Ovis aries: one gene and its partner. Each later gene encodes a partner of the first gene's protein in a complex. Links are inferred from orthologs where the notes say so. Each region holds a gene or a part of one and is shown in the gene's direction. Other genes may lie near its edges.

Evidence for each region.
Region 2: the proteins of FMN2 (region 1) and SPIRE1 are in contact, whole or in part, in a crystal structure (PDB 2YLE), measured with the Homo sapiens proteins. The link is inferred for Ovis aries from reciprocal best matches to the Homo sapiens genes FMN2 and SPIRE1. Residues at the interface, in NP_064450.3 of Homo sapiens: Ser1702, Leu1703, Lys1705, Ile1706, Lys1707, Pro1708, Arg1709, His1710, Gly1713, Ile1714, Lys1715, Lys1717, Ile1718, Lys1721, Thr1722; in NP_001122098.1 of Homo sapiens: Gln51, Pro52, Ile53, Asn54, Glu127, Ile131, Tyr134, Lys135, Asp138, Leu141, Lys142, Glu143, Asn144, Glu145, Glu146, Arg147, Glu148, Glu154, Ile157, Asp158, Ala161, Asn162, Thr163, Val164, Glu165.

Annotation. Positions count from the first base shown.
Region 1 is NC_056078.1:2,618,082-2,630,531, reverse strand, and holds part of FMN2 (formin-2), read left to right. Parts: intron 1-1,749; coding exon 1,750-3,584; intron 3,585-5,076; coding exon 5,077-5,221; intron 5,222-12,450. UniProt on the Homo sapiens protein: Actin-binding protein that is involved in actin cytoskeleton assembly and reorganization. Acts as an actin nucleation factor and promotes assembly of actin filaments together with SPIRE1 and SPIRE2.
Region 2 is NC_056076.1:43,471,975-43,484,424, reverse strand, and holds part of SPIRE1 (protein spire homolog 1), read left to right. Parts: intron 1-6,452; coding exon 6,453-6,686; intron 6,687-12,450.

The DNA of each region.
Region 1 (12,450 bases):
TATTTCTTTTACCATGGACTATTTAGAGAATATATGACATGATTTCCCAACCTATGTATTGTAATTCTTTAGTCTTTTGTATAGACATTGGTGAAAAATAGTGACTTAGATTTCATATATATACACACACACACACACACACACACACACACACACCCATAAATAGAAGTGCCTGTCACAATTTTGCCTATAATAAGTGTTTATATTTCTTTATTACTTAAAAGGTAAGTTAATTTCCTTTTCAGCTTTCTTTCACAGTAAGGGCTATTTGGTATTTTTTGATTATAGGGAAATAAGTACCTTGTATAGGTGCTTGTCTTTGAAGTTACAAGTTCTGCTTTTAATAAGCATCATAATTGATGTTCAGCAAGTGAAATGTTATAGTAAAATATAGAATTTTTAGAGAAGAAATAATGGGTTTAGGATTAAGACTGTTATCTTTATACCTTCCCTACCCCCATGCAAAAAGAAACTACCTGTGAAGATTTTAAATAAATATACGCATAACACCAAAAATGCTTCATTTATTGTAAATATTCATTTCTGTCTTGTCTGTCTGCAGCTTTTCCACTGTAAATGGGTTATATATTTGTTTTGAATTTTTAAAAAATAGTAAAGTAAGTTATTTTTTATTTTGTGGAGACTTTTTTTTTTGGATTTAGCATTTGGCAAGCAGGATAGGAGTTTAGTTTCATACTTTGCATCATCTTTGTATCACCTCTCAATTGATAGGTTAAGAGCAGGCCTGGCTCCCATGTGGGGAAGGTAGTAACATGTCCATGCTGTGGATGGTGGCCTCTGTTGGGGTATTGTGTGAAAAGCCCTGGACGCTCTGGAGAAGCAGTTCTGGGCCCTCTCATCCCCACATCGATGGGGGACAGGTGAACCTGTGTGATCAGGTGTCTGACCTGCGCTTCACTCAGTTGGGGTCTATCCCCTCTTCTTCCTTCTCCTGTTCCTGCTTTCCTCATTTTTCTCTGCCCACTCCTCTGCCTCCTCTTTTCTTCTTACTCATATGTTATTGGCAGTCAGTTTACTGAGAGGGTTTTCCCCTTTTCTCTACCCAAAGTCCTTTTCCTTGAAAGATTGATGGCATGCTTTGGGAGAGGAAGGTACCGTCTGGGGGTGAGAGTGACCCATACATGGGCACAGTTGCTCTTGGCCATTGTGATAAATTGTGGTGACCAAAGGTATCCCTTTCTGAAATGCCTTGAATAAAATATTTGAATTGTAATAAGTGTGATATAAGTTCTATACATGCACGTAAGACATGCCTATACATGCTTGTGTGGGTGTTACAAATATTTCTTATGATTTTACTGGGGACTCCTATAGAGATTACTCTTTAGAAGTTGCAATTAACTTTAAAACTTAGAATTTAAAATATCTTTGGGAAATGTCCTCATATAGCAGATGTTACTGGGCAAGAAGGAGAGTGGTCTATGGTGAAATTAAGTGGGTCACTCAGCCTTGGTTTCCCTCTTCACTGAGGTCTGCTGATCTTCCACGATTTCATTTGAAGATTAATTAGAGAAGGGCCTTAGGACCTCATGGTCATCTATGTAATCCACTTTGAAATCCAAGGGCAGAGAAGAAGGGACACATAGTAGAACTAATAATGTGTTTCCATGGAGCGAGCTTTTAGAAGTAACAAACGAATACATTTTGCTGAGTTTGGTGGGTCTAGTTTTTGATGTTTGGAGTATCCCTGATTTTCTGTTCAACTGTGATGTCTGTGTTGCCCCCCAGGAAGTGTGCGACATGAAGTCTGAGGGTCAGGCCACTGTCATCCAGCGGCTGGAGCAGACCATCGAGGATCTGAAGACCAAGATAGCTGAGCTGGAGAAACAATATCCCGCCCTAGACACGGGTCTGGAAGCCCTCAAGCTGGGAGAAAAGGATGTCGGATATGAAAGGATCGTACAGGCCAAGTCCATCCAGACGTCCCCGATGGAAGACGGTGGTGTGCTGGCGCGTCCTCCTGGGGGGGCCCCGCTGGTGGGCCCCCTACCCTTGACCGCACATGGAGAATCAGCGGGGCTGCCCTTGTCTTCGGGACCTCAGACCATGTTCTGCTCAGAAATCTCTTTGGTCGTGTCTCCAAGGCGAATATCAGTTCAGCTTGATGCACAGCCATCCCTCCAGCCTCCACCGCCTGCATCCCTCCCCTGGTCTGACAGTCATGGACAGGCGGGGTCCCAGCCTTCCCATCCTCTTCACACTGGGTTTGAAACCAGCCAGGAGCACTCTGCTTTCCCCTACTCTGGAAACGGCTGTGACATCCCCACTGCACCACCTCTGCCTCCAGAGACCTCCCCTCTGATGCCTGGCGTGGGCGCCGAGGCTTCCCCAGCACCCCTGACCCCCAGTGCACCTGGGCCTGCACTGCCCAGTCCAGCAGGCCTCTCACCTCCTCCTCGTCTAGGTCCAGAGATGCTGCCACCCCCTCCTCCACCTTTGCCTGGAGTGGGAATTCCCCCTGCCCCTCCCCTTCCCGGGGTGGGGATCCCTCCCGCCCCTCCCCTTCCCGGGGTGGGGATCCCTCCCGCCCCTCCCCTTCCCGGGGTGGGGATCCCTCCCGCCCCTCCCCTTCCCGGGGTGGGGATCCCTCCCGCCCCTCCCCTTCCCGGGGTGGGGATCCCTCCCGCCCCTCCCCTTCCCGGGGTGGGGATCCCTCCCGCCCCTCCCCTTCCCGGGGTGGGGATCCCTCCCGCCCCTCCCCTTCCCGGGGTGGGGATCCCTCCCGCCCCTCCCCTTCCCGGGGTGGGGATCCCTCCCGCTCCCCCTCTTCCCGCGGTGGGGATCCCTCCCGCCCCTTTTCTTCCCTCGGTGGGGATCCCTCCCGCCCCTCCTCTTCCCGGGGTGGGGATCCCTCCCGCCCCTCCTCTTCCCGGGGTGGGGATCCCTCCCGCCCCTCCCCTTCCCGGGGTGGGGATCCCTCCCGCCCCTCCCCTTCCCGGGGTGGGGATCCCTCCAGCGCCCCCTCTTCCCGGGGTGGGGATCCCTCCAGCGCCCCCTCTTCCCGGGGTGGGGATCCCTCCTGCCCCCCCTCTTCCCATGGTGGGGATCCCTCCCGCCCCTCCTCTTCCCGGGGTGGGGATCCCTCCAGCGCCCCCTCTTCCCGGGGTGGGCATCCCTCCTCCCCCTCCCCTTCCCGGGGTGGGCATCCCTCCTCCCCCTCCCCTTCCCGGGGTGGGCATCCCTCCTCCCCCTCCTCTTCCAGGCATGGGAATACCCCCCACCCCCCCTCTTCCCGGAGTGGGAATTCCTCCTCCCCCACCTCTTTCCAGTGAAGGAATACCTCCTGCCCCACCTCCTCCTCCTCCTCCTCCTGGTGTGGGGATTCCACCTCCTCTAACCCCTCCGCCCCCACCCACTGCTGGATCAGGCCTTCCTCTCCCAGGACAAGTTGGGAGTAGCACTTTACCGACACCTCAGGTGTGTGGCTTTCTTCCTCCTCCGTTGCCTCTTGGCTTGTTTGGATTTGGGATGAATCAGGAAAAAGGGAGTAGGAAGCAGCCAGTAGAGCCTTGTCGGCCAATGAAGCCTCTATATTGGACAAGAATTCAGCTGCACAGTAGAAGGTAACACCAGCGGCGTTCCTCTTTGCATAATTTGTCAACATGAGAGAAGTGGTTTCCTCTCTGTACCACTCCAAAGCTAGTCTGTAGATTTTTACATCAGTATTTAGTGGAGCAATTTTAGACTTTTCTCCAGAAGTATCCAAGTGATAAATCATGTGTATCAATGTACACATTTCTATCTATATAGTTTTTTTAATTAATTTCTTTTTTAATTGAAGGATAATTGCTTTACAGAATTTTGTTGTTTTCTGTCAAACCTCAACATGGTTAATTTTTAATCGACCTTTTAAGGATTGATGGATAGATCTTTCTTAGCTTATGTGAGCTGTTGCCTTTTTGCAAAGCCTCACTCTGACAAATAACTTATAAAAGTAAATCAAATCATTAAACAGACAAACCCTTGAGGATGTATTCTGCATCCTTTTGAAGGCATGGTCTTGTTTTACTATTCAGAAAAGTGATACACAAAAATCCACATGTGTGGATTTCACCCTGTGTGTGAAATGATTTAGGTCTGATCATTTCATGGCACTTCTATAGATGATTTGCAACACTGTGAGGTCACAAAATCACAGACTTACATGACTTTTACGAAAGACATGATATTTATAAAAGAATGCCTCCCAGCAGGTTTGCTGCTGGTGTATTACTTACCCATGGATGGTCCATAACCTGGTTCCCTGAACCCTGGGGTGGTGCCAGAGAAAACATGCCCTTTAAATTTCCCCTGGACTTTGTTATCCCGAGTTCTCATGACTTTGAATTTGTGGCTGTCTGTGATGTGGCACAGATTTAGAAATAGGATGTTTACTAGACTCATCTTCATTTCTTATATTAATTTTCTCTTATCTGAATCATAGTGGAGAATCACTGCTTCTAACTTTGCTGTTCATTCTCTGAGTACTTTTCCGAGTCACTCCTAATTGCTGAGGCATCATTTCCAGCTGTGCTCCAAACTCATTTTTTCCATATGCATTATATGAAGTTCTTTTATTTTGTTGTTTTGCTTTTTAAAATGAACCTTCATTTTCAGGTGGTACTACCTGTCTCTATGGTCACTGAGGAGTCAGATGACATGAGTGCTGGACAGTGGTAGGGAGACAGAAATGCCACTCTGTAGGCAGAAAGTGATTTATTTTTAACCCATGAAACTTATGGGTCAGGTTGGAATGTGAGATATCAGACATTTCTTGCCTGGAGATCCATACTAAAAAGGGTTCTTACATGTTTTATACAATGACTTGATGACTGAGAATTCCTGGCAATGCCTAGAAAGAATTCCTTTCTAGGCAAAGGTTCCATCCTGTGTTGATGCTGTTTCTCATCATGTTGGTTGATTAAACAAGTGCTGATCTTACAGAAAATGGGATGGGGATGGATCTCCCCCATCCCCAACCTCCCTTCATCCTCTCCTGGCCCCTCTGGTGCCTGTGTCCTCCTGTCCCTGCAGTCCAGCTTGACGCCTCTCTCATGGGTTTTTGCTTAACTTTAGAGACTCCAGTGCTTCACTTATTTGGGAAAAAATTGAAGAGCCATCCATAGATTGTCATGAATTTGAGGAATTGTTTTCTAAATCTACTGTCAAGGAAAGGAAGAAACCCATTTCTGACACCATCACAAAGACTAAGGCTAAGCAAGTGAGTATTCGTGTGTTTTCTGAAATTGGACAGTATTTTGGGTATAAGTGTGAACTTTCATTGGAGAAAAACTTTGACACCATTTTCAGGGCTGTGTCCGTTCCACTGTCTGTAAGCAGATAGTAGGGGTTAGCGTTTTAGAACATGTGGTTAAATAAGACTTTCCCAGATAGAATAGCAAGTAATCATCTCCACCAAGTGATCATGTTCTGACTATTTGATTTGTAGCCCCACGATCCATATTTCCAAGCTTTTAGCAATTGCTTGTTGTTATAATTAGTTGCCTAGAAACAAACTGGAAATCAAGCAAGAAATCCAGTCCTTAGTAACCGATCTCGTGTTTGGTATTTTGTTCCTATTCTAACAACTGAGTGCCCTGTAGAACCTAGCTAAATAATCACCTTGAACTTGACACAGAGAAGAGACTCTTGTATCCAGTTCCAGCATCTCCATTCTGTGTTAGATCCTTTGATGCATCCTGTGACACTTGAGTCCCAGAGAAAGAAAAGTGCATTTGGAAGAAAACATTTTCATACAATATTTTCCCACTGGTCCACACAGTGGCCTTGATCATGAACTAATTTTGTGTATCTCTCAAGGTAGCCATACAGGAAAGTATAGTAAAGCCCAGAACAATGAGCTCAGAAGGAAGGTGCTGCTGTTGGTGTTCATCTTTCATCCTGAAGAGGTGTGGTAGCAGCTCTGTCTTTTTGGGTGAAAGAAAGAGAATTGAGGTCTGAAGCCTCGGGACTCTCCTGGTACAGCCTCCTCAGATGAGTGAAAACTGAGGGGTGATATGGTCCTGTGAACTTTTGCTCTGACCTGGAAGTTGTAGCTAGATGTCTGACCCAGAGTTGTTTTCATCCGTATTCATTTCAGACTCACGCCACACATCTCTATTGCTCTGACGCTCAAATGTGACACAGTGAATTTTTCAGAACCATTTATTGTGACACAGCTGGTTGCTGGTGACTTTTAATCAGAAACAATGGTAAACCTGCACCTTGTGGGCACTGAATAAACATTTGTTCTGCAAATAAACCAGGCAACTGTAGGAGGAGGACTTTATACATACCCATGACTATTCCTGATAATGATTAAAGCCAGAAAATCACTTATCTCACAATAATCAATTTGGTCAAGGTGGCTCTGTCATGGAATAAAGGTAAATGGGGAACCACATTTTTTTCTGGCAGAGATAAATAGTCTAAAAATCTTTCCCACAGCATCTTTGTATATAGGACGCATAGACTGAGTCATCATGTCTCTTCTCGTCGATGGTACTGGTGATGGAAAAGCTGTTTAGGTGAGGAATATGGGCAGGGCAGCATATGCCATGGAGGGCTGGGCATCAGGGCCTTCACCGATCAAGCGGACAGGAATGACATGGGGCATCTGTTTTATGGGATGAAATTTTTGCCCTCCCTGCCTCCTATTACTTCCTTTCCTTTGTTAAGTGAACATAGACAAGGAAGCTGTCTCATAATGCCTGGAAGTGTAGGATTTTATGATTGCTTTGAGATTATGTCCAAATCATGAAGACAGCAACCTCAGCTAGTTGGCATGAGATGCCTCCTTTCATGCGAGCTGCACGTCTGAGTGGAGCATCAGCTCAGCACAGTTGCCTCACCCTGTCGCGAGCCTGTTCCGTAAACCATGGGGACAGGCCTTTGCCGGGGTTGTCATTTGTGCCCATTGGTGGTGGTGCAGCTGTTGACCTTCAGCTTCAAGACAGTTTGTGGACCCGTCTCCATCCTGACTCCCAGTGGCCTGTCAGCATTTTCTTGGTCAGGGTCTAGTTCTCAGCCCTGCTTTTCAGATTTGTTTTTGGAAGGAAAAGTGTTTGTTTGTTTGTTTGTTTGTTTTTCTCATGTGTTGGTGAAAGACCAATCTACTACAAACAGTTATATGGCTGAAGAAAGTGAGTTTTATTTAACTGTGTTGTGTTTGGAAGAAAAATCTATCCATTCCATCTACTTTAAAATTTCCGTCTAATTTAAAATTTTGCTTAAGGAAAACATATTTTCCAGATACAGGCAATATGGGGTCAAGAGTGCCAGCCCTCTGAGCAGCTGAAAATCTCCATTTAAATTAAGAGTCAGTCCCTTGTACTTGGGGTCCCTCTGTATGGTTCCATGTCCATGGATGCAACCACCCTAAGCTCGTGCAGCACTGCAATATTTACTATTGAAAAAAAATCAGGGTGTACGTAGACATGCACAGTTCAAACTGTTAACAAGTGGTTCCCCTTATCATATGCAGACATTCATTTCCAGCGAAATTAATAGCCATTAATGCTGTGACCTGGTTTTATGAAGATGTTTCAAGCTATTCTTCTCATATATGATGGAAGCTAAGAATTCCGGTTTTCTTTAAATAGTTCAAAATAGCTAAAATATTTTTGTGATCTGTTGTCTCCTTGAAACTAAGAGTGTGGCTGAATGTTCTGGCCTTTAACAACTCTCAGAAAACACGTCTTCGTTGTGGTAATGGAGGTTCCTCAGCTGGACACCTTGCTGTGTGGCATGATGAGAAAGAAGATACTCTGTGGGTGCCGAGTGGCAACAGTGAGGAGTGTCTGGTATTTCTCAATCCTTTCTCCACCAAGTAACTCAAGACAGAGCCTTTCACCTTTTCTCATGGCACTTGTGCTTAAGTTCTGCGCTGATGTCTTAGCTCACCCATCTTCACTGTGGCTATGAAAACATAAGGAGATTTGCTGAGAAGGTACAGGGGGTTTATCAGACTGTTGTTTCACCTAGTTCTCCTTCAACAAATGACTGTGATGCTGCCAGGTCAGAATTAAACATCAACCTGCTGATTTGGCACAATAGCAGTCCCATTTCCCAAAGAATCATGAGGAAGATGGAAAAACCAGTGTCGCCTGAGGCCCCTGTTTGACACATTGCGCATACACGCAAACCTGTCCATTTTTAAGGTTCTTAAGAAACCCTCTACAGCAAATACATGTGATCCTAGAGCGAGCACAAGTGACCCATGTTTTGCCACTGACAGGCGAGCTCACTGACTGTTAATGTTGAGTGATCCTAAGTGCTCCTAAGCCACTTCAAGATCTTCATGTCCAATTAAAGATTAAGTTTAACTGAGCTTATGAGCAGGAAAGTGAGAGGATGTACACTGGGATAATTTTGACAGTAAGAATTCCCTCAAAAAGAAGTTTCTAGTTAATCCAATGTCAGATGAGTTCCTCGGATGACATATTTTGGGAAACAGTAGCAGCAGCAGCTTCAGCAGTAGTAATAGTAACAGTGGAAACATGACAGCTGGGGAGCCTGCAGGCGTGTGGGCTCGGCTTACCCTCTGCTGCCACTGTCTCTGCAGCCTGACATCAGCCTCGCCCATCCTTGTGCATGGGCTCCGTGGTTGTGGTGTATAGGCTTAGCAGCTCCGTGGCATGTGTGATCTTCCCAGACCAGGGAGTGAACCTGGATTGGCAGGCAAATTCTTATCCACTGGATCACCAGGGAAGTCCCTGTGCCTTACTTTTACTAATTGCAAATCTTTATCTTTAGTATTTAAAATATGTTTTATCATATTTCTATGGATATCAGTGTCAGTGGATATTTCAGTGTTCACAGGCTGATGGCCTGCATGATACTCTGACAGGCCTAGTTGTTTGTATTGGTGTTAAGTTTTCTTATTGTAGCATGGGAAGGCTATGTTTTGGTTGGATGGTTCTGTTTGTCTCTTAGACCTAAAATAATATCTGAAATACCAATTATAATAAGACAATTTAGATCTGTTTGGAAGAATACATCATAAAAATTTAGTACCCTCAAGAGTCTTCTCCAACACCACAGTTCAAATGCATCAATTCTTCAGCGCTCAGCCTTCTTCACAGTCCAACTCTCACATCCATACATGACCACAGGAAAAACCATAGCCTTGACTAGATGGACCTTAGTTGGCAAAGTAATGTCTCTGCTTTTGAATATACTGTCTAGGTTGGTCATAACTTTTCTTCCAAGGAGTAAGCGTCTTTTAATTTCATGGCTGCAGTCACCATCTGCAGTGATTTTGGAGCCCCCCAAAATAAAGTCTGACCCTGTTTCCACTGTTTCCCCATCTATTTCCCATGAAGTGATGGGACCAGATGCCATGATCTTTGTTTTCTGAATGTTGAGCTTTAAGCCAACTTTTTCACTCTCCTTTTCACTTTCATCAAGAGGCTTTTTAGCTCCTCTTCACTGTCTGCCATCAGGGTGGTGTCATCTGCATATCTGAAGTTACTGATATTTCTCCCGGCAATCTTGATTCCAGCTTGTGTTTCTTCCAGTCCAGCGTTTCTCATGATGTACTCTGCATATAAGTTAAATAAACAGGGTGACAATATACAGCCTCGATGTACTCCTTTTCCTATTTGGAACCAGTCTGTTGTTCCATGTCCAGTTCTAACTGTTGCTTCCTGACCTGCATACAGATTTCTCAAGAGGCAGGTTAGGTGGTCTGGTATTCCCATCTCTTGAAGAATTTTCCACAGTTTCTTGTGATCCACACAGTCAAAGGCTTTGGCATAGTCAATAAAGCAGAAATAGATGTTTTTCTGGAACTCTCTTGCTTTTTCCATGATCCAGCGGATGTTGGCAATTTGATCTCTGGTTCCTCTACCTTTTCGAAAACCAGCTTGAACATCAGGGAGTTCACGGTTCACGTATTGCTGAAGCCTGGCTTGGAGAATTTTGAGCATTACTTTACTAGCATGTGAGATAAATGCAATTGTGTGATAGTTTGAGCATTCTTTTGCATTGCCTTTCTTTGGAATTGGAATGAAAACTGACGTTTTCCAGTCCTGTGGCCACTGCTGAGTTTTCCAAACTTGCTGGCATATTGAGTGCAGCACTTTCACAGCGTCATCTTTCAGGATTTGAAACAGCTCAACTGGAATTCCATCACCTCCACTAGCTTTGTTCGTAGTGATGCTTTCTAAGGCCCACTTGACTTTACATTCCAAGATGTCTGGCTCTAGATTAGTGATCACATCATATCATGATTATCTGGGTTGTGAGGTAATATATTCCTAAGTATTTTATTCTTTTCATTGCAATGGTGAATGGAATTGTTTCCTTAATTTCTTTTTCTACTTTCTCATTATTAGTGTATAGGAATGCAAGGGATTTCTCTGTGTTGATTTTATATCCCGCAACTTTACTATATTCATTGATTAGCTCTAGTAATTTTCTGGTGGAGTCTTTAGGATTTTCTATGTAGAGGATCATGTCATCTGCAAACAGTGAGAGTTTTATTTCTTCTTTTCCAATTTGGATTCCTTTTATTTCTTTTTCTGCTCTGATTGCTGTGGCCAAAACTTCCAGAACTATGTTGAATAGTAGCGGTGAAAGTGGGCACCCTTGTCTTGTTCCTGACTTTAGGGGAAATGCTTTCAATTTTTCACCATTGAGGATAATGTTTGCTGTGAGTTTGTCATATATAGGTTTTATTATGTTGAAGTATGTTCCTTCTATTCCTGCTTTCTGGAGAGTTTTTATCATAAATGGATGTTGAATTTTGTCAAAGGTTTTCTCTGCGTCTATTGAGATAATCATAGGGCTTTTATTTTTCAATTTGCTAATGTGAATTACATTGATTGATTTGCGGATATTGAAGAATCCTTGCATCCCTGGGATAAAGCCCACTTGGTCATGATGTATGATCTTTTTAATGTGTTGTTGGATTCTGATTGCTAGAATTTTGTTAAGGATTTTTACATCTATGTTCATCAGTGATATTGGCCTGTAGTTTTCTTTTTTTGTGACATCTTTGTCAGGTTTTGGTATTATGGTGATAGTGGCCTCATAGAATGAGTTTGGAAGTTTACCTTCCTCTGCAATTTTCTGGAAGAGTTTGAGTAGGATAGGTGTTAGTTCTTCTCAAATTTTTTGGTAGAATTCAGTTGTGAAGCCGTCTGGACCTGGGCTTTTGTTTGCTGGAAGATTTCTGATTACAGTTTCAATTTCCATGCTTGTGATGGGTCTGTTAAGATTTTCTATTTCTTCCTAGTTCAGTTTTGGAAAGTTGTACTTTTCTAAGAATTTGTGCATTTCTTCCACGTTGTCCATTTTATTGGCATATAATTGCTAATAGTAGACTCTTATGATCCTTTGTATTTCTGTGTTGTCTGTTGTGATCTCTCCATTTTCATTTCTAATTTTTATTGATTTGATTTTTCTCTTTTTGTTTCTTGATGAGTCTGGCTAATGGTTTGTCAGTTTTATTTATCCTGTCAAAGAACAAGCTTTTGGCTTTGTTGATTTTTGCTATGGTCTCTTTTGTTTCTTTTGCATTTATTTCTGCCCTAATTTTTAAGATTTCTTTCCTTCTACTATCCCTGGGGTTCTTCATTTCTTCCTTTTCTAGTTGCTTTAGGTGTAGAGTTAGGTTATTTATTTGACTTTTTCTTGTTTCTTGAGGTATGCCTGTATTGCTATGAACTTTCCCCTTAGCACTGCTTTTATAGTGTCCCACAGGTTTTGGGTTGTTGTGTTTTCACCCGTCCATGGGGCTGCAAAGAGTCGAACATGACGGAGCGACTTCACTTTTACTTTCACTATGATCCCATTGCCATTTACTTTATTGTTTTGGGTTCGGGTTTATACACCCTTTTGTGTTTCCTGTCTAGAGAAGATCCTTTAGCATTTGTTGGAGAGCTGGTTTGGTGGTGCTGAATTCTCTCAGCTTTTGCTTGTCTGTAAATCTCTTGATTTCTCCTTCATATTTGAATGAGATCCTTGCTGGGTGCGGTAATCTGGGCTGTAGGTTATTTTCTTTCATCACTTTAAGTATGTCTTGCCATTCCCTCCTGGCCTGAAGAGTTTCTATTGAAAGATCAGCTGTTATCCTTATGGGAATCCCCTTGTATGTTATTTGTTGTTTTTCCCTTGCTGCTTTTAATATTTGTTCTTTGTGTTTGATCTTTGTTAATTTGATTAATATGTGTCTTGGGATGTTTCACCTTGGGTTTATCCTGTTTGGGACTTTCTGGGTTTCTTGGACTTGGGTGATTATATCCTTCTCCATTTTAGGGAAGTTTTTAACTATTATCTCCTCAGGTATTTTCTCACGGTCTTTCTTTTTGTCTTCTTCTTCTGGGACTCCTATACTTCGAATGTTGGAGCGTTTCATATTGTCCTGGAGGTCTCTGAGATTGTCCTCATTTCTTTTAATTCGTTTTTTTTTCCTCCCTGATTCATTTATTTCTACCGTCTATCTTC
Region 2 (12,450 bases), on another chromosome or scaffold:
TGTAGTTTATAGACATCGTACTGTAAACCTCATACTCCCCAGTGAGTGTATGATGAGGCTGAAGAGATCATTTCACAAACCGTATATATGGTGGCCCCTATAGAGAGAGGTCCTTGACTGAGAGAGGCTGTCTCCCCCTCTGCCTCGCCAGTGTGACTGGGAAGCTGAGGGGCTCCTGGTGCTGGGAGGCTAGTACCCGCCCCTCACCCCCTCAGCCACCCACCCCCCCCGACTGCTGTGCCTACGCGGCCTTCTGTGCTCGGGCTTCAAAGTGGACATGGGCCCAGACAACTTTTGCACTTTATTTTCAATTTAAACATTTGATTGTGACCTAATACTGGAATCTTTTATAGCATTTTTTTTTTCTATTGTAAAACTAATTTCTAGTTTTCAGACTGCATTGAAAGGACAGTTTGGAACATAGCTCATTTAAAAGCTTGGAGTTACATTTTAGAATGATATTTCTGTGGTTATATAGGAAAAACATCAGTAAAAGAGGCAAGATTAAAATATCATCATATCCCAACCAGTCCTGAAAGTGTATTTATCATGCATCTAAGCTTTTAAAAATGCAATCTCTGTTCTTTATCAATACAAATTTGCTTTATGAAGATAAGTTAAATGTAAACAGACAATGGAAAATGCTTATTTTGATAATCTAATATCACTGTTGCATTAAACCCCTCTGTGTAGCAAAGGTAACTTAACCCTTAAAAACATGTGTTCCCTACTTCTGCGTCTTGACATAGATGAGTGCGAGTGTTGAGCTGCTGGCTGTGTCTTGATTGGAACTAGAAGGAGCTGGAAGTTGGTTCCTATCAGTTGTCCTTGCCCTGACTCTTCTCAGATTGTCCCATTTTGTTTGTTTTTTCAGTTTAGCACAGAAGCTTTTTGCTTCTGTAAGCCATTCACAAAAGTTATGAGGTGTGAGCCACTAAGAATGCGTTCCCTTTACGTAAGAGCAACTTCAGTAGCCCCTGGGGCTGAGAGAGACATTTCATGTATTGTGGAAATTTTTGTGCCTCTTCTATCCTATCCGTGTGTGAAGGAAAGTCGTAGGAGTATGCCTGCCTCCTCTACTGAAACCCCAGAGGGCCAGGCGGCCTTCAGGCCTCCTCCTCAGTCCCCAAGCCCTGTGATGTGTAGTCACAGGTGTTCTGCCTTTTGTACTTGCCTGTCTGGCTTTAGCTTTGTTGCCTTTGACTTTGTGACTAGAGCTGCATAGGTGGTTAAACTCACTGGCTTTGAGGCCAACCTGGCTTTGAGTTCTAACTCTGGCTTACTGAATCTCAGTTTCTTCATCTTTTGAGTTGTGGGGCTGATGGTATATGCTATACTTCTGAAGGGTACTGTAATGAGAATTCCGTAAGAAGTGCATGCAAATGTGTAGGGCAGGCCCATGCCTGTGTAGGTAAGCTCCCTAGATATTAGCTGTACGATGGAAATCTGCCATAAGCTATGTTTCTGTTATTTGTTCAACAAGGCTGTGACCAGAGCAGGTGTGTCCCAGCCACAGTGAGTCCAGCGACAGGGGTGGTTGTGCCATGGAACTTGTCAGTTAATTAGAAGCAAGCTTTTGACCTAATCTCAAGTGGGAAAAAATGTAAATTGAAGCAGGGATATGGTTTTAAATTAAAAGTCTAATAAAGAATTCTGGAATTAAAAAAAGATTTAGGCATATCTGTAGTTTTCCACAGTTTTGAATAAAAGTGCTTCCACAAACTGACAGAGTTGCCTGTCAGGACAATTAGTAGGTCAGCACTAGACAAATAAGAAAGGGAGTAGAGAGAACAAGGTCTATGAAGTAGACTGGAGCAGGTCCATGGAGCTTAAAAAAAGCAAAGTGGGACAAGGAGAGCAATTGTTCGCTGGAAAGTGAAGGTAGTAGTTTTCCAGCACAGAAGCCATAACCTCCGGTGGCAGTCACAATTTAACAACTGGTTTTGAAAGAAAGTATTCGGTTTAGGAATAAAAACCTCTTCTATTAAATATACAATAATCATATTCATATTAAATATTTTTGTAGCCTGTTTTAGTAGTGTGTGAAAGTGTGCTATTAACTTAGGTAGTACATTTATTTACACTGCAGTAAGATTTACTATAGTGAACATATTGAGTACATTGATATATTTACCTGGAAAAATCTTAATGCAAAAATTTTTTAATCTTTTTTCTCTATTAAAATTAGGCAATCTTAGAAACAGCTAAATAGTCATCAGCTGATAAATGGATGACTAAAATGAGGTCCCTCCACAAAGTGTAATATTGTTTGGCAATAAAAAGAAATGAAGTAGTGATACATGGATGGAGCTTGCAGTGAGACATGCTGAGTAACAGAAAAGTGAAGTTGCTCAGTCATGTCCGACTCTCTGTGACCCCACGGACTGTAGCCCACCAGGCTTCTCCATCCATGGGATTTTCCAGGCAAGAATACTGGAGTGGGTTGCCATTTCCTTCTCCAGGGGATCTTCTCAACCCAGGGATTGAACCTGGGTCTCCCGGATGGTAGGCAGATGCTTTACTGTCTAAGCCACCAGGGAAGTTGAGTAACAGACTTGTTGTATGACTTCATCTGTATGAATTGTTCAGAGCAAGTACCTTAGTAGAAACAGAAAGTAGTCTGATAATTGTCTACCAGCAGGAAGAGGATGGGGTTGGGGGAAAATGGTGAGTGACTGCTATTGGGTGTGGGGTTTCCCTAGGGTGAAGAAAACATTCTAGAATTGATTGTGGTCATGATTGCATAACTCTTAGGATATGGAAAACCACTGAGTTGTGTACTTTAAATGGGTGAATTGTATGGTATGTGATTATATCTTAAGAAAGCTGTTAACTTTTTAAAAAATTAAGCAATTTTAGAGAGTCCCTGACTTAAAAAAGCAAAGGCATTGAATAGATTATTCACACTGAACTATATCCTCCCTAATACCTAACCCAGGGGGCACCAACTCCAGTGCATGCTGGTCACTTAAGAAGCGGTTCCAGTGTGGAGCCCAGACCCACCCTGCAGGTTCCAATCCATGGTCTGCAGGCCTGGGAAGGGCTGAGACACTCACTTTCAACAGGTGCCTGAGGAATCTGCTGTTCTGTGTGTTAGAAATTGAGAGCCACTCAGGGAGAGTTCTCTTAGAATATTTTCCTATGTCTGTTGATCCAGTCTTTATTTTTATTCAGTTGCTTTGGCTGCCTTATCTGTACTAAAATACATATATTTAGCAATTTATTTAGAGTTTGAAATTATATCAGAACCACTCTAGCATTGCCTTATTATAGACCAGGTAGCTGAAGCCAGGTAAGTTGAGTTTTTTCTTGAGTCTCAAAGCTGCTAAGTGGGAGAATTGGAATCCAGGTTTTGGTCTGCTTAAGTCCAACCCAGTACTTTTTTTTTCTCAGTTATGTCGGGTCTTCACTGCTGCATGGAGGCTTTCTCTAGTTGTGGCGAGTGGGGGCTACTTACTAGTTGTGATGTGTGGTCTCTTCATTGGGGTGACTTCTTTCGTAGAATACAGGCTCTAGAGCATGGGCTCAATAGTTGTGGCACCCAGGCTTAGTTATCCTACAGTGTATGGAATTCCTGGATTAGGGATCGAACCCATGTCCCCTGCATTGGCAGCCAGATTTTTCACCACTGAATAGTCAGGAAAGTCCCAATCCAGTACTCTTTTCATTTGTGTTTCAGAATCTTGTCTTGTATCTAATAATAATCCCTTAACCGGGCTGAGACCACCACAGGTTTAGATCCTTTCTACCTGCTGTTTAGTGGCTCTTCCTCTTTATTGGCTCTGAGAGTTTGAACAGATTGCTTCACTTCTCTGTGCTTCAATTTCTTAATCAGAAGGAAGCAGGGTAAGAATAATGCCTACTTGATAGAATTGCTATGATGATTTAGTGATTCAGTACGTGTGGAGTGCTTGGCAGAGTCATTGACATGATTCTTGCTAAGTAAATGTTAGCTCTCATTTCTGATCATAGACTCAGACTCTCTCAGGGTCTAGATTTAGGAATATCTTTAAAAGGACAGTGAAATGAAATATGCATTTTCCTCAACATATCTGTGTTATAATTTTTCTGATGGGCCTTAGTAGGTAAAACCCAGAGCAGTGATTGTCGAATTTATGCAGAGGATGGAGCTACCACGCCTGTTACAGAACACATGATAAACTGTTTTAAAAATTGGAAATAATTTTGCTAGCAGAGAATGACTTTATTCTGTCTGTACAACATAAATTCACTTTAAGCATACATAGTCATGAGAAGGCTGTGGAATAAGCCTAATCAGTTCCTTGTAAATAGATGTTAAATTTGCATATTGTTAATTTGTTTGATCATCTGCCAGTAAGTATATTAGATGGCTTTGAGAGAATTGTCCTCATTAATGCACGTACTTCTGTGATTTGGAAAAAGCTGTTAATCCTGGATATTGGGGGTGCTTCGTGCCAGCCTGTGGGATGGCATGGTAACCTAGGGTCTTGGGAACCATTGTTTTATGGGCATAAGAGTGAGGGTAGACATGGGTCAAGCCAGATTATTTCTGGGAGTAACAGTTTGCTCTGTAGGGCTTAATGTTTTAAGACTATGATGGCAAAAAACTTGAGTTGTGAAAAATGATTTTTGTGGTTTTTGTAATTCAAAATTTATAAAAGTTTTATACGGTCTTACAAAAACATTCACGTAATAGAGAAAGAGCGACTGTTTGCCAAGCTCTCCTGGCCTCATTTACAGAGGTAACTTAACAGTTTGTCTGTTCTTCTAGAAAAATGTATAGTACCTGTATACACAGGCATATGTTTATTCTGCATATATTTATTGTGTATATCAGTGTTCTTATGCAGCTGCCTTTTGAACCATGATACATGCTGGGCATCTTGTTACATGTTGGTACACGTAGAGCTGCCCCATTGTGCACCTCATTGGTGGCACACTAAGTTTCAAAAGCTACAGTATGCTAGGCACTGTTCTAAGCTCTTTGCATGTATTATTACCTCACTTAATCTTCACAAGAACCTTATGAAGTAGGTACGGCTACTATCCCCATTTTGTACATGAGCTGACAGGCACAGAGGTACATGAGGCAGTTTTTCCAATAACACATGAGTAATGGAGCCAGGATGTGAACCCAGGCAAGTAACTTCATAGACTGCCTTTTTAACCAAAGCATGACATTTCCCCTGTGAATAGACATCACATTATTTTCTGTTTTTCATTGTAACTTATTTTTCTATAAATGGGTTATTAAATTTTCTAAACTTACTCTTATTTTTATATGTGTAGAAGGGATAACTAGCTTTTAACAAAGGAGAGAATTATCTGATTGTTTCTGTTTCACTCTGACATCTCAGTTATTGCCATCTGTGAAAGCCTTCTGTCTGGTGGGATCCTAGTTGACCCTTTCTCTTCCTCTCAAAGTTTTACTCTATCAGTTTCTCTAACTTTTGCTTATCTAATGAAAAATCAGGCTTATTCTTTGAAAGGTGAAATGTTCTAGTACTCCTATGTCACATACAAGCTTGCACATAGATATATGTGCATGTTTTTCATTTGGCTTGTTGATCATATTACAAGTCTCATATTGCAAGATCACACAGTCTTCGTTGTAATTTTTTTGTTTGTTTTTTTTAAATAAGTTTCTGAGGGAAATGTTTTAAAATTTCCTGCTGTGATAAGGGCTTATCATTTTTAATTAGTAATTATGACAGTTTTAGGTAAAACATTTGTGGTTTTATTTTAGAGCTGTATTGTTTGGTACATGCAAGTTCAGTTCACAATATTTTTGAGATGTTCCTTTCTGCCCTTTTAAATACTGCTTTTGCTGAATTCTCATTTTTGGATATTAACATTATTAGTGTGGTTTTCTTCTCATTTGTATTTTTCTGGAATGTACCTTTCCATCCTTTTAATCTTTCACCTGTTTTGCCTATCACATGTTTTACCTGTTTCCATTTATTGTGATTTCTGATGTATTTGCACTCATTTCCTTCATCTTATTTTGTGTTATCTGTTTGTCATGTCAGTCACACTGTCCTGCAGAGAAACATTCACCTGAAATAGTGAAGCTGCTGCCTCTTATTAGGAGCTGCATTCTCCAGTGTGCTCAGACCTCACCTGGCCATTCACTTTATCTCTGTGATCCCAGTAATAAGTTCCATGAGTGTGGGGTCCAGACTCTACCTATTTTCTTCACCACTGCACTCCGCACCAGATATGGGACCTGGTACAGAGGTGCTCCGTGAACATTTACTGAATGAATCGATGAATGTTCAGTTCAGTCGCATCTGAGATTTAAAAAAAAAAAACACAGATGAGACTTTTTAAGCTCCTCAAATTTAATGTGTCACATTTCTGAAATGGAATAGATTAGACGTAGCTTAAATATCATACTAAATGTTTTATGCCTTACAGTTCTATAAAGCTGTTCAGTTGTCTCTATTAACCGCCTTCCTTAATGTTCCTAGGTTATAGAATCTTTGGGAATTATTATTTATAAGGCACTGGACTATGGCTTGAAGGAGAATGAAGAAAGGGAGTTAAGCCCCCCACTGGAGCAGCTCATTGATCGCATGGCCAACACAGTAGAGACTGACGGCAGCAATGACGAGGGCTACGAGGCTGCAGATGAGGGTCTGGAGGAGGATGACGACGAAAAGAGGAAAGTTTCAGCCATCCGGTCCTATAGAGATGTCATGAAGGTAAAGTTTACAGCAGTATCTCTTTCTTTCAAGAGTTGTTATTTCACTTCAAAAAATTGATTAGCATTTGATAATAGTTCCTAGACTTTCAGCTTTCAGTGAAATACATTGTTGTTGTTATTTACTCACTAAGTTGTCTTCAGCTCTTTGCAACCCCATGGACTGCAACATGCCAGGCTTCCTTGTCCTTCACCATGTCCCAGAGTTTGCTCAGTTTCATGTCCATAATGAAATGCATAAGAGTATTCTAATTTCATTCTTTTACATGTAGCTGTCTAGTTTTCCTCCTACCATTTATTGAAGAGGCTGTTTTTTCTCCATTGTGTATTCTTGCCCCCTTTGTCATAGATTAGTTGACCATAGGTGTGTGAGTTTGCCTCTGGACTTCTTTCCTGTTCCATTGATGTGTGTCTGTTTTTGTGCCAGTATCCTACTGTTTCGATTACTGTAGTTTTGTAGTACAGTCAAAGCTCTGAAGTCAAGGAGCCTAATTCCTCTAGCTCTGTCTTTGTTGCTTTTCTTTTTTTCTCCCCACAAAATTGCTGTAGCTATTTGGGACCTTTTGTGTTTCCATACAGATCTTAAAATGTTTTGTTCTAGTTCTGAAAAGGTGAACCAAAGTCATGTCCAACTCTTTGCGAGCCCATGGAATTCTCCAGGCCATAATACTGGAGTGGGTAGCCTTTCTCTTCTTCAGGGGATCTTCCCAACCCAGGGATCGAACCCAGGTCTCCCACATTGCAGGCAGATTCTTTACCAACTGAACTACCAGGAAAATTCTGAAAAAGGCTATTGGTAATTTCATGGGGATTACATTGAATCTATAGATTAGAACAGTCTCTAATACCATACATAGAAACAAACTCAAACTGGATTAAAGACCTAAATGTAAGTCTGGGTACTATAAAACTTTTAAAGGAAAGCTTAGGCAGAACACTCTCTGCCTAAGATATTACATAAATCACAATAATATCTTTTTGCTTCACCTCCTAGAGTAATGAAAATAAAAACAAAAATGAACTGTGGGTATATTTGAGATAATCAGGAAAATTTTACCTTTTACTCTATAGTTGATGATATTAGGAATTATATTTTTAGATATTATAATAGAATTGTGAGTATATTTTTAAAAAACTCATTTAATGAATATATGGTGAAAATATCTACATGTGAAATTCAGATGTCTGGAATTTGTTATAAAATTATCCTTGAGGGGTGAGGCTTAAGTGGATGAAGATGTAGATAAAGTAAGATTGGCCATGAATTGATCATTGCTAAATTGGGTGATGGATGGTAATTCATTATACTGTCCACCTCATTTTATGTATGTTCAAAATTTTTCCACACAGTAATACTACTATTAGAAGTTTTTCAAAGAGGTCAGTTTTTTAAGCTCAGATATAATTGACATATAACATTATATTAGTTTCAACTGTACAAGGTAATGATTCCTTGTTTGTATAAATTGCAAAATGATCACCACAATAAGTTAACATCCATCACTACACATGGTTACAGATTTTTTTTCTTGTGATGAGAACTTTTAAGCTCTATCTTTCAGCAACTTTCAAATATTCGGTACAGTATTGTTAACCTTAGTCGCCATGCTGTACATTACATTCCTAGGACTGACTGAGTTTATAACTGGAAGTTTGTACCTTTTGACTGCCTTCACCCATTCTACTCTGTACCCCCAAAGCCCCAACCACTGGCATCACCAATCTGTTCTCTGTACAAGGAGATGATTTTTAAAATGAAATGTTACGTAGATACAAGGAGATGTGTATCACAGCATTAATTACACTGTTTTGAAACTGTAAATAAATGACTTCCAGAAAAATGGTATATCAGCTACATAGATTATCATATGGTCTTTAAAATTATAATCATGTAGGTTAAGTAGCAGTGTGGGAAATTTTTAATAAATGGAGAAAAGACCACAAAATTCTGCATGTACTGACTGGTGTGTGTATAAAGGAAAGACTGTGTATGCAGACATAGAGAACAAACTTGTGGACACAAGTCTGTAGAATTTCCACTCCTCCACAAGCGTCACTTGTTTGGTAACTGTAGAGGTCATTTGGGGCATGCTGCCTGTATGCTTTGTTCTAAGTGTTTCAGCACTTGAAGAAAATTGCTTCTTTTAGTGTGAGAACATTACTTCCTTTAGTGTAACTCATCCTGCAGTTAGACTGCCTGGGTTTACTTCCAATTCTGCTGGCTAGGTGTGTGGCTTGGGTAAATTCTTAGCTATTGTAAATTTCTATTTCTTAATCTCTAAATTGAATTGACATAAGAATTAGATGTGATGATGCATATACACACAAAGAATAAAATAATTATCAGGTAATTCATTGAAACTGAAATAATCACCGGAGTTATTTTTCCTCTAAGGGATTATTTCTCATCTGTCTCAGTGGAAACTTCATGAAATTTCATGGGCTTAAAAAAAATTTTTTTTTGTACATTAAAAAATTGTGGTAAAATACACATAACAAAGTTTACAGTTCACAATTTAGTGCCATTAAGTAATTCACGATACTATCCAGCTGTCAGCGCTATCTCAGTCCAAAGCCTATTCTTTATCCCAGATGGAAACCTATCCCTTCTCCAGCCCATGGCAGCCACTGATCAGCTTTCTGTCACTGTGGATTTATGTATTCTGGTATTTCATATAAATGGAATCATATGGTATATGACTTTTGGTGTCTAGCTTCTTAGACTGAGTGTAATGTTTTTAAGGTTCCATGTTGTAGCATGTGTCAGTACCTTTTTCCTTTTTATGGCTTAATAAGATTCCATTTTGTGAATATACCACAGTTTGTTTATCCACTCCTCAGCTAAGAATATTTGAATTATTTTCACCTTTTTTTTGGCTGCTGTGAATGGTGCTGGTATGAACATTTGTGTTTCAGTTTTTGTTTGAATACCTACTTAAAATTCTTTTGGAAATACACCTCAGGAATGGAATTGCTGGATCACATGGTAATTCTATCTTTAACTTTTTGAGAAACCATCAAGCTATTTTTCGCAGTGGCTTCACCATTTTCATTTCTACTAGCAATACACAAGGGTTCCAATTTCTCCACATTCTTGCTAACACTTACTTTCCATTTTCTCTTTGCTTTTATAGCCATCCTAGTGGTTGTGAGTGGTATCTAATTGTGGTTTTGATTTGCATTTTCTTAATGACTTGTGATGGTGAGAATCTTTTTATTTGCTTTTTGGCCATTTGTCTACTTTCTTTGGAAGAATGTCTGTTCAGGTCCGTTTTTAAATTAGGTTGTTTGTCTTTTGTTGAGTTTAAGAGTTCTTTACGCATTCCGAATAGTAGATCATTATTAGATATATGATTTGCAAATATTTTCTCTGCTTCTGTGGATTGTCTTCTCATGCGCTTGATAGAATCTTTTGATGTACATTTTTTTTTAAATTAGAGGATAATTGTTTTCACAAAGTAGTATTCGTTTCTGCTCTACAACAACGTGAATCAGCCAGAAGTATACATATATCCAGGTTAGGCATTGCTCTGCTGACAAAGGTCTGTATAGTCTTCCCAGTGGTCACACATGGTTGTGAAAGCTGGACCGTAAAGAAGGCAGAACACCAAAGAATTGATGCCTTCGAACTGTGGTGCTGGAGAAGACTTTTGAAAGTCTCTTGGACAGCAAGGAGATCAAACCAGTGAATATTAAGGGAGATAAACCCTGAATATTCACTGGAGGGACTGATGCTAAAGCTGAAGTTCCAGTATTTTGGTCCCTGATGTGAACAGACGACTCATTGGAAAAGTCCCTGATGCTGGGAAAGAGTGAGGGCAGAAGGAGAAGAGGCATCAGAGGATGAGATGGCTGGACGGCATCACTGATGCAGTGAACATGAACTTGGGCAAATTCTGGGAGATGGTGAGGGACAGGGAAGCCTGGCGTGCTGCAGTCCATGGGGTTGCAAAAAGTTGGACCTGACTGGGCAACTGAACAACATACATATATTCCCCTCCTTCTTGAACCTTCCCACCTCTTCCCACCCCTCTAGGTTGTCACAGAGCACTGAATTGAGTCCCTGTGGTACATAACAACTTCCCAATAGCTGTTTTACATAGGATACTATAAATGTTTCAGTGCTATTCTCTCAATCCATCCCACCCTCTCCTTCCCCCACTGTGTCTACAAGTCTGTTCTCTATGTCTGTGTCTCTATTGCTGCCCTGCAAATATGTTCATCTGTAACGTTTTTCTAGATTCCACACACACAGATACAGATATATGTCATTATACAATGCTTGTTTGTCTGACTTACTCCACTCTGTACAGTCTCTAGGTTAATACACCTCAGTTAAACTGCCTCAGATTCATTCCTTTTTATGGCCAGGTAATATTCCATTGTATGCATGCACCACAACTTCTTTATCCATTCATCTGTAGATGGACATTTAGGTCGCTTCCATGTCCTGGCTATTGTATATAGAGCTGCAGGGAACATTGGGATACATGTGTCTTGATTTTCTCAGGGTATGTGCCCAGTAGTGGGATTGATGGGTCATATGGTAGTTTTATTCCTAGCTTTTTAAGGAATCTCCATACTGTTCTCTATGGTGGCTGTACCAATTTACATTCCCACCAACAGTGCAAGAGGGTTCCCTTTTCTCTCCAGCATTTATTGTTTCTAGATTTTTTGATGATGGCCTTTTTGACTAGTGTACAATTTTAACTTTGAAGTCTAATTTATCCATTTATAGCCATACCTTAGGGGAATTGCAAGTTTAGCTCCAGACTACTGCAACAAAGCAAAGGTTGCAGTAAAGTGAGTTACATGAATATTTTGGTGTTTCCCATTGCATATAAAAGTTACATTTATACTATACTATAGTCTATTATAAAGTGTATAATAGCATTATATCTAAAAAACAATACATACTTTAAAATATAAAACAAAAAACCAGTTACAATAGTAACAGCAAAGATCACTGATCACATTACCACAACAAATACTAATAAAATAATAAAAGTTAATAATAATAAAATAAAGTAAATAATAAAATAATGATAAGAAAAAGTTTGAAATATTGTAAGAATTATCAAAATGTGCCACAGAGACAAGAAGTGAACAAATGCTGCTGGAATAATAGCACTGATAAACTTGCCTAATGCACAGGGTCACTACAAACCTTCAATTTGTTAAAAACACACTATCTGCAGTGCATAATATAGTGCTATAGTAAAGTAAGATATGCTGTATCTAGTGCTTTTGGTATCATATCTTAAAAACTGCTACAAAGTTCATGACCATGAAGGTTCACCACTATGAAGGTTCACTTCACCTTCGAAGAGTTTTATAGTTTTGACTCTTAAATGTAGATCACTGATCCATTTTGAGTTAATATTTATGTATGCTGTGACATAGGGGTACAATTTTTTTCCCCCATGTGGATATCCACTTTTCCAAGCATCATTTGTTGAAGAGACTATTCTTTCGCTCCGTAATGGTCTGGGCACTTTCATCAAAAATCAGTCAAGCATAGATATATGGGTTTATTTCTAGACTCTCAGTTGTGTGTCATCAATCTGTATATTTGTTGTTATGCAAGTACCACTTTGTTTTCATTACTGCAACTTTGAGGTAAGTTTTTTTTTATTATAGCAATAGTGAAATTTATTTTTATTTAATTTATTTTTTTATATTACTTTACTGTATTGGTTTTGCTATACATTGACATGAATCCGCCATGGGTGTACATGAGTTCCCAATCCTGAACCCCTCTCCCA